Linked DNA regions of Callithrix jacchus. The protein of the gene in region 4 interacts with the protein of the main gene of each other region in a biochemical or structural test. Links are inferred from orthologs where the notes say so. Each region holds a gene or a part of one and is shown on either strand. Other genes may lie near its edges. The genes, in order: UNG, NF2, PPP2R1A and DCAF1.

Evidence for each region.
Region 1: of the proteins of DCAF1 (region 4) and UNG, one has a biochemical effect on the other in vitro, tested with the Homo sapiens proteins (2 studies listed by BioGRID, with this or other methods). The link is inferred for Callithrix jacchus from reciprocal best matches to the Homo sapiens genes DCAF1 and UNG.
Region 2: the proteins of DCAF1 (region 4) and NF2 form a complex in vitro, tested with the Homo sapiens proteins (3 studies listed by BioGRID, with this or other methods). The link is inferred for Callithrix jacchus from reciprocal best matches to the Homo sapiens genes DCAF1 and NF2.
Region 3: of the proteins of DCAF1 (region 4) and PPP2R1A, one has a biochemical effect on the other in vitro, tested with the Homo sapiens proteins (2 studies listed by BioGRID, with this or other methods). The link is inferred for Callithrix jacchus from reciprocal best matches to the Homo sapiens genes DCAF1 and PPP2R1A.

The regions. Positions count from the first base shown.
Region 1 is NC_133510.1:111,975,673-111,979,777, reverse strand, and holds the start of UNG (uracil-DNA glycosylase), read right to left. Parts: upstream 2,860-4,105; 5' UTR 2,780-2,859; coding exon 2,648-2,779; intron 2,296-2,647; exon of another isoform or gene 2,138-2,295; coding exon of another isoform or gene 2,033-2,137; coding exon 1,826-2,032; intron 1,263-1,825; coding exon 1,167-1,262; intron 1-1,166. UniProt on the Homo sapiens protein: Uracil-DNA glycosylase that hydrolyzes the N-glycosidic bond between uracil and deoxyribose in single- and double-stranded DNA (ssDNA and dsDNA) to release a free uracil residue and form an abasic (apurinic/apyrimidinic; AP) site.
Region 2 is NC_133502.1:200,270,083-200,273,642, reverse strand, and holds part of NF2 (merlin), read right to left. Parts: intron 2,289-3,560; coding exon 2,183-2,288; intron 1-2,182. UniProt on the Homo sapiens protein: Probable regulator of the Hippo/SWH (Sav/Wts/Hpo) signaling pathway, a signaling pathway that plays a pivotal role in tumor suppression by restricting proliferation and promoting apoptosis.
Region 3 is NC_133523.1:45,575,321-45,579,442, reverse strand, and holds the start of PPP2R1A (serine/threonine-protein phosphatase 2A 65 kDa regulatory subunit A alpha isoform), read right to left. Parts: upstream 2,819-4,122; 5' UTR 2,745-2,818; coding exon 2,667-2,744; intron 1-2,666. UniProt on the Homo sapiens protein: The PR65 subunit of protein phosphatase 2A serves as a scaffolding molecule to coordinate the assembly of the catalytic subunit and a variable regulatory B subunit.
Region 4 is NC_133516.1:34,070,548-34,074,830, forward strand, and holds the start of DCAF1 (DDB1- and CUL4-associated factor 1), read right to left. Parts: upstream 2,846-4,283; 5' UTR 2,638-2,845; intron 1-2,637. UniProt on the Homo sapiens protein: Acts both as a substrate recognition component of E3 ubiquitin-protein ligase complexes and as an atypical serine/threonine-protein kinase, playing key roles in various processes such as cell cycle, telomerase regulation and histone modification.

The DNA.
Region 1 (4,105 bases), on a different chromosome or scaffold from region 4:
CCTTATCAAGATGGTTTATTCAACTATTTCACTTCTATTTGATTTCACAGGTATTCATTAAATCACAAGATTCTTGCCCCAGTTTACAAAATGGGGGAGGAAAACGAGTAAGAAACCTAAAAGTCCAGTACGTGCTAAATGCATCGTAGGAAAACCGGATCATACAGGTATCAGGCAACAGGATTCAAGGAGGCGCCACAGAGGTATCCACTTGATTTTTAAGAGACAGAAGTGTCGGGAGGGGTTTGTCACACTGTCCAGCTCTGGAGTGGGAGCTGGAGGTAAGGCTGAGAGGTAGGACACAGCCCTATTTAAAAAGGGTTGCTCCGCTTTCATAGTTCAACAGTAAAGAGCCACAGTTTTTTTTTTTTTTTTTTTTGGAGACCGGAGTCTGCCTCTGTCACCTAAGCTGGAGTGCAGTGGTGTGATCTGGGGCACACTGCAACCGCCACCTCCAGGGCTCACACGATTCTCCCACCTCAACCTGAAGAATAGCTGGGATTACAGGCATGCCCAATCATGCCTGGCTAATTTTTGTATTTTAAGAGACCGGGTTTCACCATGTTGGCCAGGCTGGTCTTGAACTCCTGACATCAAGTGACCTTCCCACCTTGGCCTCCCGAAGTGCTGGGATTACAGGCATGAGCCACCATGCCTGGCCCCACGGACTTTTGAACATGAGACTGATGAGAGCCACCAAGCAGCAACTGTTATATAAGAGGAACTAACGCAAAGGGATCTGTTAACAGAAACATAAAACCGTTCAGGCCAAAAGTAAAGAGCTTGAAAGTGCTAACTATAAGACAGCGTGGTCAGGCCAAGGTGGGTTTGACTATAGCCGCAACACATTTAACTGCTTTGTGTGTCAGTCTGAACTTCATCGACACCACCGTAATATGTAACACTGCGAGAGGTTTCCAGATTTAAAAAAAATACAAGAAATAAAAGCATAGGATGTACATATTTCTCCTTTTTGCTGTATAAATAGCATGTGTCAAACATTAAAAAGAGTAAATATAGGCTGAAATACAGTCAGCCGAACCTCACAATTGCAGTGTTTTATTTACTACTGAATGATGGACTGTGGCTTAACTCCGGTGTCCCTAATTTAAGAATACTATTTGACTCCTTCTCCCCAATAAAAATCATCAACAACTTATACTTACATCTCTTATGTCACACATCTGAGTCCAGGTGAAGACTTGGTGTTGGGGTGGATAAACCGTGTAATGCTTTCTTTCTTCTGCAACAAATCCCATTAGCTGATTTAAAGATAAACTAGACTTAAAATCAGATTCTCATTGGAAACCATAAGAATTCATAAGAAAGCTTCTAGGGTATGTTATTTGGAACATCGTTAGTTCTTTGCCATGCTTTATATCCAAATTCTTAAAAAAAAAAAAAAAAACAAAAACCAACAAACTAAAACAGTGCCTGCCCCTCACCTAAGTGGTTCAATCAGGTCAATTCCCTGCCTCTTTCAGGAGTGGTCCTGACAGTGCCACTCCTCCCCGTTTCTTTTTAAACGTCAAGCCAGGTTTCATTCAGGATGGTTGGTGGTTTTACAATGCCAGCCTTTCCTGGACAGCAGACTAGGTGGCTAAAATGAAGTCATGATACCATCTCCCCGATCATTAACAACTTTAACCAATATAAAGGTGCAGATTAAAACATCATGGCTTTCTTAAACCTCTATGGAGTAAAGGACGTTGAAGGGGGTACAACCTGAGCCTACGGAAACGTGTACTTGGCCGGCTACACTAACAAGACAAAGAACCGGCAGCTTCCACATTTACCCTTATGGAAGGTGTATTTCCATATTCACCTTGATAAAATACGGCTTCCCGAACTCCCCGCTGAGGTGCTTCTTCCAGCTCTCCCCAAAGCCCACGGGCACGTTGCGGGCGGCGAGTCTGAGGAGGGCCGCGGCCTTGTTCCTCTGGATCCGGTCCAACTGCTCCGCGCTCAGCGGCGAGGAGGGTGGCGTCCCGGGCTCATCCTGCTCGGCCCGGGCCTTCTTGGCGGGGCTGGCCTGCAAGGAGTCCCCGCAGAGGCGGCTCCAGAACAGTAGCGGCCCCTTCCCAGACGTCCGCAGCTTCCGGCCCAACCCCCACAGCCCAAGGCAGAAGCTGCCCATTTGAGGAGCAGGACTCAGAACCGGACAATAGGAGCCAGGGCTAGGCCTGGTCCGGGAATTGGGAGTTAGGTTCTAAACTGGAGGGAAAAGAGGGGCTGGGAGGCGTCCCCGCGGGGTCATCAGGGGTATCGCGGGGACTGGGGATCCTGCACAGAGGCGCCCCGCCCCTGCGAGACCCGCCTCCCGCGTCCCCACGCGGCCTTTTCGCGGCAAAAACCTTCCCTCTGGGTCCCGCCCCCTCTCCCCTGATTGGACAGCGCGCTGAGCAAGGCGGGCCCACAGCGCGCGGATTGGCGCGCTGGGCCCCGAGGCGCGTTCCCATTGGCTGACCCCTCAGCATGGCGGCCCAAGGGGGGACCGCGGCGGCTGTTTTGAACACATGGAGGCTGCTTGGAAAGGGGAGCCAGGGTACGGACTCAGAGGCGCACTCCTACACGCCCTCAGTCAGACGGGGCTCACCACCTTCCTTCCCCTTGACCACCCCAGCCCTGGCCCCACGTCGCGCCTCACCGCCGCATCTCCGCTCTCTTCAGCCACTGCCACCACGCCAGTCCCCAGGTCAGCCGGCTCCGGGCTGGTGGGGCGTCGCTTCCTGGCGGGGCTAGCGGAGAAGAAGGAGTAGAGCGTCTTCTGGCCGATCATCCCGGAGCCGAGGAGGCAGCGAATGCCTGCTGCCGGGGAACCCGCGAAGCTGGTCCTGGCTGTGGCGGTCAGCAATTGGCGCCAAGCGGCCCGCGCATGCTCCGAGCTGGGGGCTTTGCTGGGGGCGGGGGGCTGTGGAAGGCCTAGTGCGCATGTGCGGGAGGGGCTGCCTTGCAACGCCTCTGGGAGGAGGTGGGGCGTGTAAAGGTGCCCCGGGGCCTATTATTTCATTAGCCTTCGGCTCAACTCTGACCATTGGAAAGTCTCTCCAGGCTCAGCTGCAAGAAAAAAAAGCCGGGCGCGGTGGTGCATGCCTGTAATCCTAGGGTTTTGGGAGGCCCTGGCGGGAGAATCGCTTGAGGCCAGAAGGTCGCAGCTGTAGTGAGCTTTGATCGGGCCATTGCACTCCAGCCTGGGCGACAGAACGAGACCGCCTCTGGCGCGGCGTGGCGGGGGTGGGGGGAGAAAAGTACCTGCCCCTTAGGGGTGTTGTGGGAGTGCAGTGAACAATATAATAGTATTGCCCAGGCTTGATGGCTCAGGCCTATTATCCCAACACTGTAATCCGAGGCAGGTGGATCGCCTGAGGTCAGGAGTTCCAGACCAGCCTGGCCAACATGGTGAGACCTCGTCTCTACTAAAAATACAAAAATTAGCCGTGCGTGGTGGCGCGCGCCTGTAATCCCAGCTACTTGGGAGCCTGAGGCTGGAGAATCGCTTGAACCCGGGAGGCGGAGGTTGCAGGGAACCGAGATTGCGCCACTGCACTCCAGCCTGGGTAACAGAGTGAGACTCCATCTCAAAAACAAACACACAAAAGATAAAATAGTATTTGTTGAACTGTTATATACATTATCTAACACAATTTTCATGGCCTACTTTATGACAATAAACTAAGGCTTAGAGCAGGCAAACATTTTGCCTAATGTATCAGGCTTGTGGGAGACTTTTGGGTCAGAGAGGTTAAACCCCAACGATTTATTCTCCAAATGACACCACTGTGCCTCCTCCCCACCACTACTAATACACTTAGGATTCTCTTTCCCTCCCTCACATCCAAACCATCCATATCTCCCTTTGATTCTTTCTCCAAAACAAACCTCAAATTCAGCTGCTGCTCTTGCATCTCCTGGCTACAGAAGACCAGCTGGGAAGTGTTCTCCTTTCTAGAGAGAGATTTTTACATCATGACAGTACCCAGGACCGGCCCAGTGCTATGGCTCACGTCTGTAATCCCAGAACTTTGGGAGGCCGAAGGGAGGAGCGTATCGCTTGAGCCTAGGAGTTCGAGACCAGCCTGGCCAACATGGCAAAAACCCATCTCTA
Region 2 (3,560 bases), on a different chromosome or scaffold from region 4:
GCCTCTTTTTCATCCTTGTATCCCTTATTAAGTCCAGGACAGTGTCTGGGAAAGAGCAGAGGCTTGACACATTCATTTGAGACACTTTCAAGGCCTGAGGCAGACCGTCTGCAAGGGTGGCAAGAGAAGGCTCCTGGGGTGCCAGGGACATCCTGTTTTCTGATCTGGGTGCTGGGTACATGGGTATGTTCAGTTTGTGAAAATTCTTCAAGCTGTATAGTTGTAATTTCGGCACTTCTCTATATGTATGTTATACGTCATAAAAATTTCCAGAAAAAACAAGTTCTAGTTGCTGTAGCACTAGTGAGAGCATGAACTGGGACGACTTCTTTGGAGAGTATCGAAATGGAAAATTTGACCCCACAGTTCTATTATGAGAATTTATTCTACCAGTATATCCCTGTGTGTGTGTCAAGATTTGTGTTCAGGGATGTTCAGTGCTATTTTGCTCAAAACTGCAAAAGAAAACAGACTAAATACTCATCCATGAGGGACTGGTTAAATGAATTATAATCCATCTACACAATAAAACTTGATTAAAAAGGTGATATGAATCATCTCCTCTAGGATTGACTGCTAAGAGGAAAGAGTGGATACAGCAGTGTATAAAGTTTGCTCCAGTGTGTATTTTAAAAACAACACATAGACTGGGCGCGGTGGCTCACACCTATAATCCCAGCACTTTGGGAAGCTGAGGCGAGCAGATCACTTGAGCTTAGGAGTTTGAGACCAGCCTGGGCCACATGTCAAAACCCTGTCCCTACCAAACACACACACACAAAATTAGCTGGGTGTGGTGACGCACACCTATGGTCCCAGCTTCTCAAGAGACAGAGGCGGGAGGATCGCTTGAGCCTAGGAGGTAGAGGTTGCACTGAGCCGAGATTGTGCCACCGCACTCCAGCCTGGGTGACAGAGTGAAACTCTCTAAATAAATTTTAAAAAAAAGTAATAATAAATAAAAACAACACACACATCAGTAATAATAAATAAAAACAACACACACATCTCAAGTGTTCAGCCAAGCTGAGGGCTCAGATGACTACAGTCCCAGCTACCATCTGACTGTGACCACCAGAGAGATCCCCAGCAAGGATCTCTGTCTGGCCCAGTCAACCCAACCAGCCACCAGAGGTACTAATAAAGGGTTGTTTTGGGCCACACGGTTGGCTTGGGTGGGTTGTTACATAGTAATAGAGAACCAGGATATATGACAACAGCAAACTGCTTACATTTCCCCCACCTTGAACCCCAGGCAGCTTGTGCCTCTGGTGCTCTTTGTGCATCTGTGTCATGTATGTGCCTGTGCCATGTGCATGAATGTATGTATGGGTATGTGTGTGTTTGTCTGTGCTGTGTGTGGATGTGCCATGTGCATGACTGTGCCGTGTATGAGTCTGGGCCATGTGTGCATCTGTGCCCTCATCCTGAATACCCTATGTTCTCTTCTCCACCTGGCTACTTCCTGTTCCTACTTCAAGCTTCAGTGCAGACACCATACTGAGCCTCTCCTGCCCCTCCAGGATGGGCTGTGTCCTCCTCCTCTAGGCACCCATGCACCCTGAGAACACCTGTCAGGATAGAGACTTCCAACTATGTGGCACAATGTGGATACAGAACAAATATGCAAAAAAAAAAAAAAAGTGCTGAACTGAATGCACAGAAGAAAGGAAGGAAAGAGGCTTCTATTCATTTTGTGACCCCATTTAATAGGAAGTCTGCCTCTCTGTCCTGAAACTGAGATTGGCTGCTCATTCTTGCACAGCAATAATTCACTCTGAGATGTACAGCCAATCCCTTCCCAAAACTATAATTATGATATATGGTATATACTGATAGTTGAAGATTACATTCAGCTCAGCATTAAGAGGCAAGAGAGCAAATTCTCTTGAGGATAATCTGGGACTATATTACTTAGAACATGAAAAAGATTCCAGAGCTGGAAAAGGCCCTGTTGCCTATTATCTAGGCAACCAGAGAGACAACTAACTAGTCCAAAGCCAAATGGCAGACCAGGGTGTTTTACCCAGTCCCTAACTGCAGGCTCTCTGCACCTCTCATCCTGCCATGCGTTTACTTGAATGGTCAGCCTGAAGGCACTGCCAGATGAACCGAAGGGCCGGAAGGAAAGAGAATATCACCAGGGCTAAGGCAGCCCCAGGTGGCAACCCCACAGGCTCACCGGGTACGTGGGCTTGGTGGCGATCTCCAGGAGCTTTTGCTTGGCTCTTCGCTCCGCCTCACGCGCTTCCTGCAGGTCCTGCTTCAGCTGATCGGCCTCTTTGGCCCTGCAAGGAAAGGAGGAGATGTCAGCATCACAGAACAGGGCAGGTGGAGGGAAAAGACCCCACCCTACCTGTGCAAAGGAGAGACCTTGGTTAACCCTGAGGATGGTACCTGAAGAGGCGAAAAAGGACAGCGGGACAGGGACATTTACATGAAAACTTCCAAAGCAAGGACAACACTCCTGAAGATTTTCATTTGAGCTGGTAAATCTAAACTGGAAGAGCAGGAAAACTGGTGGGGAATGAGAGAAACCAGACCGTCTGCAGCCGGGAGAGGGAGGAGCTGGAGGAAGCACCAGCAGCTTTCTCTGCTTTATTTTTGGGTGAAAGTAAGCTGGGCAAAGGAAAAGCCTGGAGGATCAAAGTTCTTATATCGGATCGCAAAGCGCAGTATATGCAAGAGCTGTGTCTTCACAGTCCCCGGGTAAAACACCTGCAGGCCTTGTGCCCACTTTCTCCAGCAGGAAGATGAGCCCTGTCACTGAGGGCACTGCACCTTGGTGAAGATCCTCACCCTGCGGGGCTTGGGGTGGACACAGCATGTGAGGCTTGGCACAGGGACCTGGCCCAACCTGCATCACAGGTTGTGTGTGTGCAGTCCCTAGTCCAAGCCAAATGGCAGACCAGGGTGTTCTATCCAGTCCCTAACTGCAGGCTCTCTGCACCTCATCTGCCATGTACAGGGAGTGTGACCTGCATACAGCAAGGGGGCCGAAGCAGGACAGGCAAAAAGAAACCATATTCCCAGAATGACATGCAAAGAGTGGTAAGGAAACTGTAGTGAATGCACCTTGGTAACTAAAAGCCAAATTCAAGTGCTCTAAATCAACAGCCAAAAGCTGTGGGGAATGTGTCAGTGTTTATCTGAAGGTTGCAGGCCTAGAATAGTCTTTCAAAAGTACAGACAACAGTTCCATCCTTCAACCTGGCCATGAGTGGGACATACCAGTCACAGAGACTATCCTAGCCCTCCTCCCCCATGTGCCAAGGAAGGCTGGGGGATGCAGGCACTAGTTTCCCTTTAAAGGTAAGCAGCTGCTGTTCTGCAGCTCCACCGAATGAAAGCAGAAAAGAACCTTGTTATTGTTGTTTTTTTTTAATGAACAAAGAGCCTTCTCACGTCTCTTCAGCTGAAAGCAGTCTGTGGATATACTCAGGGGTTTTCCTGCATACACGGCCATCAGAGGGTCAGGGGCTTATCACAGAGGTACAAGCCCGACCAGAGAGGTGCACCTGGCAGGAGAACTGAGTTCCTATGCCCATCCGGTAGCGCCA
Region 3 (4,122 bases), on a different chromosome or scaffold from region 4:
CTGTGGGAGGCCGAGATGGGCGGATCATCTGAGGTCAGTAGTTTGAGACCAGCCTGGTCAACCTGGAGAAACCCCATCTCTTCTAAAAATACGAAAAAAAAATTAGCCAGGGGTGGTGGCGCATGCCCAGTTACTCAGGAGTCTGAGGCAGGAGAATCACTTGAACCCAGGAGGTGGAGGCTGCAGTGTGCCAAGACTGCATCACTGCACTCCAGCCTGGGCAACAGTGGGAGACTCTGCCAGAAAAAAAAAAAAAAAAAAAAAAAAAGGGCCATTACACATCTGCTTCCTCTTCCTCGGAGGCTCCTCCCCACCTTCTTTCAGTCTCTTCTCAAACTCTGCATCCTCAGAGGGGCGTTGCCCGAATGGCCTACTTAAAATGCATCTGCCCCACCCAACTTTGTAATCCTGCTTCCTCTGCCTTCAGGTGTGTTCTCAAACATCATCTCAACAAGGCCTCCCCAGACTACACTTTAAAACTGCATCTCCTCTCTCTCTTACTTTTCTCCCTGACACTCATCCGCATGTAATACAGTATACTCTTCGTTTACTGTCTGTCTTTCCTCACTACAAGGTAAACTCCCCAAGTGCGGGATTTTTTGTCTCGTTCCCTGCTATACCAGTGCCTAGAACAGTGCCCCGCACAGAACACTCGCCCAATTCAATGTGGATTCACTACCACAACATCCTGTTTGTTCCCTTCCCATCACTTTTCATTCAGCTCTGTTGGCCTGTTTCACACGCAGATCCTGTAGAGCAACTGGTGTCTCCACTACACCCCCAGCATCATACCTGATACACGCCATGTGTTTACTGAACAAAAGAATTCATACGGCCGGGCGCGGTGGCTCACGCCTGTAATCCCAACACTTTGGGAGGCCGAGGCGGGTGGATCATGAGGTCAGGAGTTTAAGACCAGCCTCACCAATATAGTGAAAGCCCATCTCTACTAAAAATACAAAAATTAGCCAGCTGTGGTGACATGCACCTGTAGTCCCAGCTACTCTGGAGGCTGAGGCAGGAGAATCGCTTGAACCTGGGAGGCGGAGGTTGCAGTGAGCCAAGATCATGCCACTGCATTCCAGCCTGGGCGACAGAGTGAGACTCCATCTCAAAAAAAAAAAAAAAATTCAATACAACAGCCCTATGAACTACATAATTATCCCCAATCAAGAGAAGAGCAAACAGAGGCCTAGAGAGATTAACTAATTTGTCCATGTCAATCAGTGAGAAGTGGAAGGGCCAGGAGTACAACCACGGTCTGTCTGCCACCAGAAAGTGATATACCAGGAACCTAGGGATGGGACCCACGTTTTGTAGGTTACCCAGTGCACTTGTTCAATTTTATAAACGGGAAAACTGAGGCCTAAAGGGAGGATGGGACCTCTTTAATCACCACTCCCAATAAGTGCAGCTAATATTTATCCGGCCCTTATGGCAGGCCTGACAGCACTCAACTTTGTGTCATAATTCATTCAGCCCTTCAACAAGTCCCTCCAGCAAGACGAGGGCTACAATTAGCCCACATTTTATGGGACAGAGGCCCAGAGCGGTGAAATAATTTGCACAAGGTCACACAGCGGGTGGGAGGTGAACTTGAAGTCCTAACTGTTTTCAATCCCACACCACCTTGGGCCACCTCATCCCATAACCAGAAATGTTCACCCGGGCCGGGCGCGGTGGCTCACCCCTGTAATCCTAGCACTTTGGGAGGCCGAGGCGGGTGGATCGCCTAAGGTCAGGAGTTTGAGACCAAGCCTGGCTAGCAAAGCAAAATCCCATCTCTACTAAGAATACAAAAATTAGTTGGGCGTGGTGGATCGCGGCGGTAATCTCAGCTACTTAGGGGGCTGAGGCGCGAGGACGACTTGAACCCGGGAGGCGAGGCTGCACTGAGCCGAGATCGCGCCTCTGCACCCCCACCTGGGTGACACAGCGAGCTCGGTATCGAAAAAAAAAAAAAATTAGGAAGAAATGTTCATCGGCTTAGCAAAGCCTTCGCCCCCTATCCTGGTCAATGGGAGGATCCGGGGGTGGGGAGGCAGCTTTCTACAATGTAATTCGCCCCTAAATTTGGCTAGTCCCCACTTTTTGGGGGGGGCGCTGTTTCTGCATCCCCCTCCTCTTAGGACACCTACACCAAAATGAGAAGCGTAGGAAAAGCAGGAATTGCGATGGCAGGCTTTCGCCTCTCGGTCCCCACTTGGCCCAGGAGTATAAACCCAGAAAAGAAAAAAAAAACAAAAAACTCTCCAGGTCCCGATCCACCAGGCGGCCCTCCCCCACTCGGAGCAAGTCACGCGCGCCCCACATCCCCAAGGGACCATTCGGAAGCCGCCGCCAATCACGGAGTCCTCCTCTCTCCTCTCCCCAACCCAGCCCACCGATCGTAGCCCAGGTCGCGGCCTCCCAGGACCCAGGGCCACCGCGCGCACTCTGCAGGCCCGGGACCCTCGAGGCTGGCGCTGGCCCCCGCCCTCCGCTGGGTCGACACCCAATCGGGGGCGCCGTCTCAATGAGTCCGGGCACCCGGGGAGGTAAGAAAAGCACACTGATTGGCCGCCGCTTCCTTCCGCCACTCCCAGCGAACGCTGAGTCTTCGCGAGTGCTGCCGGTGTCCCAAGATCCCCCTCCCCACTTCCCTAACTCCCCCGTAGCCTCCGGACCTGAACATCCTCGTTGCGGAGTTCGTCTATGAGCACCGCGATGGGGTACAACGAGTCGTCGCCGTCGGCCGCCGCCATCTTGGCTCCGTCCCGTTCCTGTCAGACTGCGGCCAGCGCTGTGCTGAAACCCGGGGCAGAGCTGGGAGGAGGAGGAGGAAACGCGCGCGTGGGGGCGCCCAAGCCAGTTTACAGGGGCTGCTCCATGGTCATTGGCCGCGCTACGCCGGGCTAAGCCCGCGTTTCTTTGGTCCAGACTAGTGAAGTCCCGCCCATTTCCCATTTGCCATTGGTCGATTGAACGAGATTTGACTAGTTTGAGCCTAGGAGAGCGAGAAAGAGGAACTTAGCGGTGTCCTAGCGACCAACATTGTACCCGCCCTCGTCTCCGCTGACAACGACCGAGACGAGCAGTTGTTTGTAGCCAATGAAGGGCGAGATGGGGAGGAGGCTAAGCCTGCCTTTCGGTAAATCCCGGAGGCTTCTGCGCGTGCGTCGATGGTAATACATGACGTCATGTGGGGAGCGGTAGGGTGTGCAGGTTTTGGGTTATCAAGCCGTGGTTCCATTGGCTGGCGGAGTGGCCCCCCCCCCGCGCCTTTGCGCGGGAGGAGAACGGAATGAGACTTTGTATTTATTTTATGCCAAGGCCTAGAGAAGGGAGTGACTTGCCCTGTTCTCTCTCTTTCTCTATCTTTTTTTTTTTTTTTTTGCTTTTTTAAAGACATTGTCTCGCTGTGTTGCCCAGGCTGGAGTGCAGTGGCGCGATCTCGGCTCATTGCCGCCTGGACCTCCCCAGTCTGAAACGACCCTCTGGCCTCAGCCTGCAGAAAATTTTTGTAGAACCGAGTCTATGTTGAGCTCAGTTGTCTTGCTCTTTGGATGAAACCCAAACCCCTCGGCTGGTATCCAATACCCAGATTACAGGCGCGAGGCATCAAGCCAGGCCTAATCTCTGTTTTTAACCTCCCTAAACACATTGCCCCCCCCCCACCAACCCACCCACTGAAATCTTAGGACCACTGTAACTAAGGGAGTTGGAGGGATGGGAAGGCCTGGGATGCTCTTTCCTCTTTCATTCTGCTACGCTTGAAGGGCTGGACTGAGCTAGCGCTCTGACAGGTCTGAATGCCCCCAGCATCTTTTTCTTTCTTTTTTTTTTTGAGATGGAGTCTCAGTCTGTCGCCCAGGCTGCAGTGCAGTTGCCTGATCTCAGCACAGTGCAACCTCTACCTCCCTGGCTCAAGTGATTCTGCTGCCTCAGCCTCCGGAGTAGCTGGGTAAATTTTGTATTTTTAGTAGAGACGGGGTTTTCACCACTTTGGGCTAGGCTGACCTCAAACTCCTGACCTCAGGGTGATCTGCCTGCCTTGGCCTTCTAAAGCGAGCCACCACACCTGGCCTTTTCTTTCTTTCTTTTCTTTTCTTTTTTTTTTTTTTTTGAGATGGAGTTTCGTTC
Region 4 (4,283 bases):
TTATTTATTTAATTTATTTATTTATTTATTTATTTGAGACAGAGTTTCACTCTTGTTGCCCAGGCTGGACTGCAACCATAACCTCCACCTCCCGGGTTCAAGCGATTCTCCTGCCTCAGCCTCCCTAGTAGCTGGGATTACAGGCACATGCCACCACACCTGGCTAATTTTGTATTTTTCGTAGAGAAGGGGTTTCTCCGTGTTGGTCAGTCTGATCTCGAACTCCCAACGTCAGGTGATCCCCCAGCCTCGGCCTCCCAAAGTGCTGGGATTACAGGCATGAGCCACCCAAAATAAATTTTTTATTTTTATTTTCTTTAAAAAAGCAGAAACTCAGCCTGGGGTCCTGGGTTGATGATGGGAGCAAGAAGCATTAAGGAGGGGCTTTGGAGAACCCAGGGCCTAAGAGGCTGGGGAAGCAGAGCAGAAGATGAGCAGGGCCTGTCCAGCAGCCACACCCTCAGGAATCTGCACTCTGTAACTCCTGTAGCCTCCTCTACCCCTGCCAACACCTCCCCCTCCCTGACATGCACACAGCCATGCACCTACAGACACCCCTAAACACCTCCTTCCCACCTCTGGGAAGGAGAAGGGGGAGCACCCAGGCTTTCCCAACTGCACACACATTCCAAGTGTGCTTGGTGACACATTTCACTGTTCAAGTATTACATTTGCCAGATACACAAGCATGCATTAGGCACCCAGTCCTCACAACAAATACTTTCACATCTAAGCATATGAACACACAAAGCTACAGACAATCCAGGGCCACATCCTGGCTTGGTTCTGGCACATGGGTCCTGCATCACTGGAAGGAGATTTATTGGCATCTTTGGTGGGACATCTTTGGACTCTGTCTTACCCTGCCCTGCCTCTTCCACCCCCTGCTCTGTAGTGTGCCTGAGAAAGAAGAAGCCTCATCTGAAAGAGCGAGGAGTGCTTTTGGAGCTGCCCAGAAGCAGAGAAAATGCAAGAAGAGCCCAGCCCTGGCCCCAGGACCAAGGCCTACAGATAGGCATGCTCTACCTACTCCCACGTCCAAGCACACCCACTACCTGGGTAGGAAAGTGGACAGCAGCAGGTTCTCTGGGCCTCAGTCTTCTCCTTCACTCTCCTCCCTCTCCTGCTCCCATCCTTCTACGAGCTTTTCACTCCCAGCACCTTCTAGGCTTACCCAGGTGCACCCACCAGCTCATCCTTACCCTGGTGTCACCCCACAATTCCTGTGCTTCCTCCAGCAATGCCCTTCCCTAGGGCTGGGAAGTGAGGCCAGCTGTCCCATATCCACCCCTGCTCTCCTTTAGGCTAGACAAGACTGCTACTGCAAGTGTCCAGGAGTGTCACAGAAGCTACCAATTAGAGGCTCAAGGTTACCATCCTTGAGAACACCAGCCTAGACAAAGAGGAAATCCCAGTCATTCACTGGGTGCCCTGCTCCTGCCTCGTGGCCCTGATAGCCCCCCAGAGAAAATGAGGAGAGGGAATGCCACTCCATTTCCCAAAGGGTGTGTAATTATGTCTGATTACATTCACATCCACCACTCTCACTTTACAGAGAAAGAAACAGATGCCACAAAGTCAACAATGTAAGTGCCCACATGGTCCATGGGCACAAGTACTGGGGAGATAAAAAAGCAAGCACACCCAGCCTCTTTTGCCTCAGGTTCCTGGGGTTGGAAATCCTTCCAGGAGGAAGAAGAGTGGAATTAACATTGGGGAGAGGGTCTGTGTTGGCCTGGCCTCCAAGCTCTCAGAAACCCCTGTATTTGTTTTTTATTTCTGTATTTTCTTGAGACGGAGTCTCGCTCTGTCCCCAGGCTAAAAGGCAATAAAGCAGTCTCTTCTCACTGCAACCTCTGCCTCCTGGGTTCAAGTGATTTTCCTGTCTCAGCCTCCTGAGTAGCTGGGATTACAGGTGCACACCACCACACCTGGCTAGTTTTTTGTATTTTTAGTAGAGATGGGGTTTCATCATGTTGCCCAGGCTGGTCTGGAACTCCTGACCTCAAGTGATCCACCCACCTTGGCCTCCCAAAGTGCTGGGATTACAGGTGTGAGCCACTGTGCCCGGCCCAGAATGATCTTTAGCTACTCAGGAGGCTGACACAGAATTGCTTGAACTGGCACCCTGGAGGTGGAAGCTGCAGTGGGCCAAGGTCACGCCACTGCACTCCAGCCTGGGCTATGGAGCAAGACTCCATCTAAAAAAAATAAACAAATAAATAATTTTAAAATAAAAATAAAAATCATTCTTATGGCTAGGCGTGGTGGCTCACGCCATAATCCCAGCACTTTGGGAGGCCGAGGCTGATGGATCACCTAAGGTTGGGAGTTCTAGACCAGCCTGGCCAAGATAGCAAAACCCTATCTCTACTAAAAAGGTACAAAATTTATCCGGCTGTGCGCCTGTATCCCAGCTACTCAGAGTCCTGAGGCACAAGAATTGCTTGAACCCAGTGAGCCGAGATTGCTCCACTGCACTCCAGCCTAGGTGACAGAGCAAGACTCTGTCTCAAAATAAAATAAAAAAATGATAATAATAATAATATTTGAAATTAAAGAAAAGAGAGGGGGGGCCTAGAGAAAAATGGCTTTGTCAAATGGGACAAATTCAGAGGTTAGAGATCCACCCATCACCTGAAGTAAATACCTCTACCGTGGGCCTGGCCCTCTTGGAGATGTTGCCAGATACAGCCTGGAGTACCCAGTTAGGCCTGGGAGCCAAAATCCTCAAGGAGAGGAGTTTCTAGGTGTAGAGGGTGTCATGGGCTCTTACTGTGGGGAAGCTCTTCTTCATCCCTTAGAGATGGAGATGTCTCTCTATGAAAAGTCACATGATATTCCTAAGGGGAGCCCCCTTTGCCCTGCTCCTGCTTCACCAGGCCCAGACTTGTCACAAGATAGCCTTCTATGAAGTCACAAAGCTGGCTGCCCCACCACAGGACCAGGGACCAGGGCAACCAGGGACTAGTGGGCATGACTTTGGGGGAGAAAGGACTTCATAAGCAGCCTGTAGACTCTGGAGAGAGGTGTAGAGTCTGGAGGAGCTCACCAGACCAGCCTCAGGCTCTAGTGGGTGAGAAGGGTTGTTGGAGACTCCAGATGGGGTCAGTTTCTCTGGTCTCAGTCATCACCAAAAGATGAGAATGGTTGGGGTCTGAGCCTGTATTCCTTAACCATTGTCCTGTCCTTTGAGACCCTAGGGCAGGAGGAGGACCCTTGACCCAGCTGAGTACATATAAGTGTCCTGATCACTGATGTTCTGGGTGATCTATTGAAAGAGGAGGTTAAGGCCCCTGATCCAGGGACCAGATATTCTCCTCAGTGCCATCCCTCTATGACTATCTTTTTTTTTTTTTTTTTTTTTTTTTTTTTTTCCTTTTTTGAGATGAAGTTTCACTCTTGTTGCCCAGGCTGGAGTGCAGTGGCATAATCTTGGCTCACTGAGATGTACATTTTCCGGGTTCAAGCGATTTTCATGCCTCAGCCTCTCAAGTAGTTGGGATTACAGGTGCCTGCCACCACACCTGTAAATTTTGTATTTTTAGTAGAGACAGGGTTTCAACATGTTGGCCAGGCTGGTGTCGAACTCCTAACCTCAGATGATCCACCTACCTCGGCCTCCCAAAGTGCTGGGATTACATGTATGAGCCATGCCTGACTATCCATTCCTACCTGTTTCCTGGGCAAGCACATAGACCAAACTCGGCTGCAAAGCAGCCCTGGGCTGGGCGAGGTGGCTCACACCTGTAATTCCAGCACTTTGGGAGGCCGATGTGGGCAGATCACGAGTTCAAGAGATCGAGACCATCCTGACCAACATGGTCATCTCTACTGAAAAATACAAAAATTAACTGGGTGTGGTAGCACACACCTGTAGCCCCAGCTACTTGGGAGGCTGAGGCAGAATAATCACTTGAACTGGGAGGCAGAGGTGGTGAACTGGGAGGCAGTGAGCCGAGATTGTGCCACTGCACTCCAGCCTGGTGTCAGAGCCAGACTCTGTCTCAAAAAAAAAGAAGAAAAGCAACCCTGGTAGCCTTGGTAGCCTGGAACCCCTAACTGCTGGATTACACAGAGGAAGAAGAGTGTCAGAAGAAACTAGAGTGCTCAGTGCCTACTCTCTCCAAAGGGTAGAGAATCCCACCTACTGAAGAGCCAATCCAGGGGAGAAAACAGAAAACCACTCAGGGAAGAAAGGGTCATTCCATAAAATGTGGAAACTCAGTTACTGCCTCGGAAGGTCACACTTTGTAAGTGGGGCTTGGGATCAGCCACTGGAT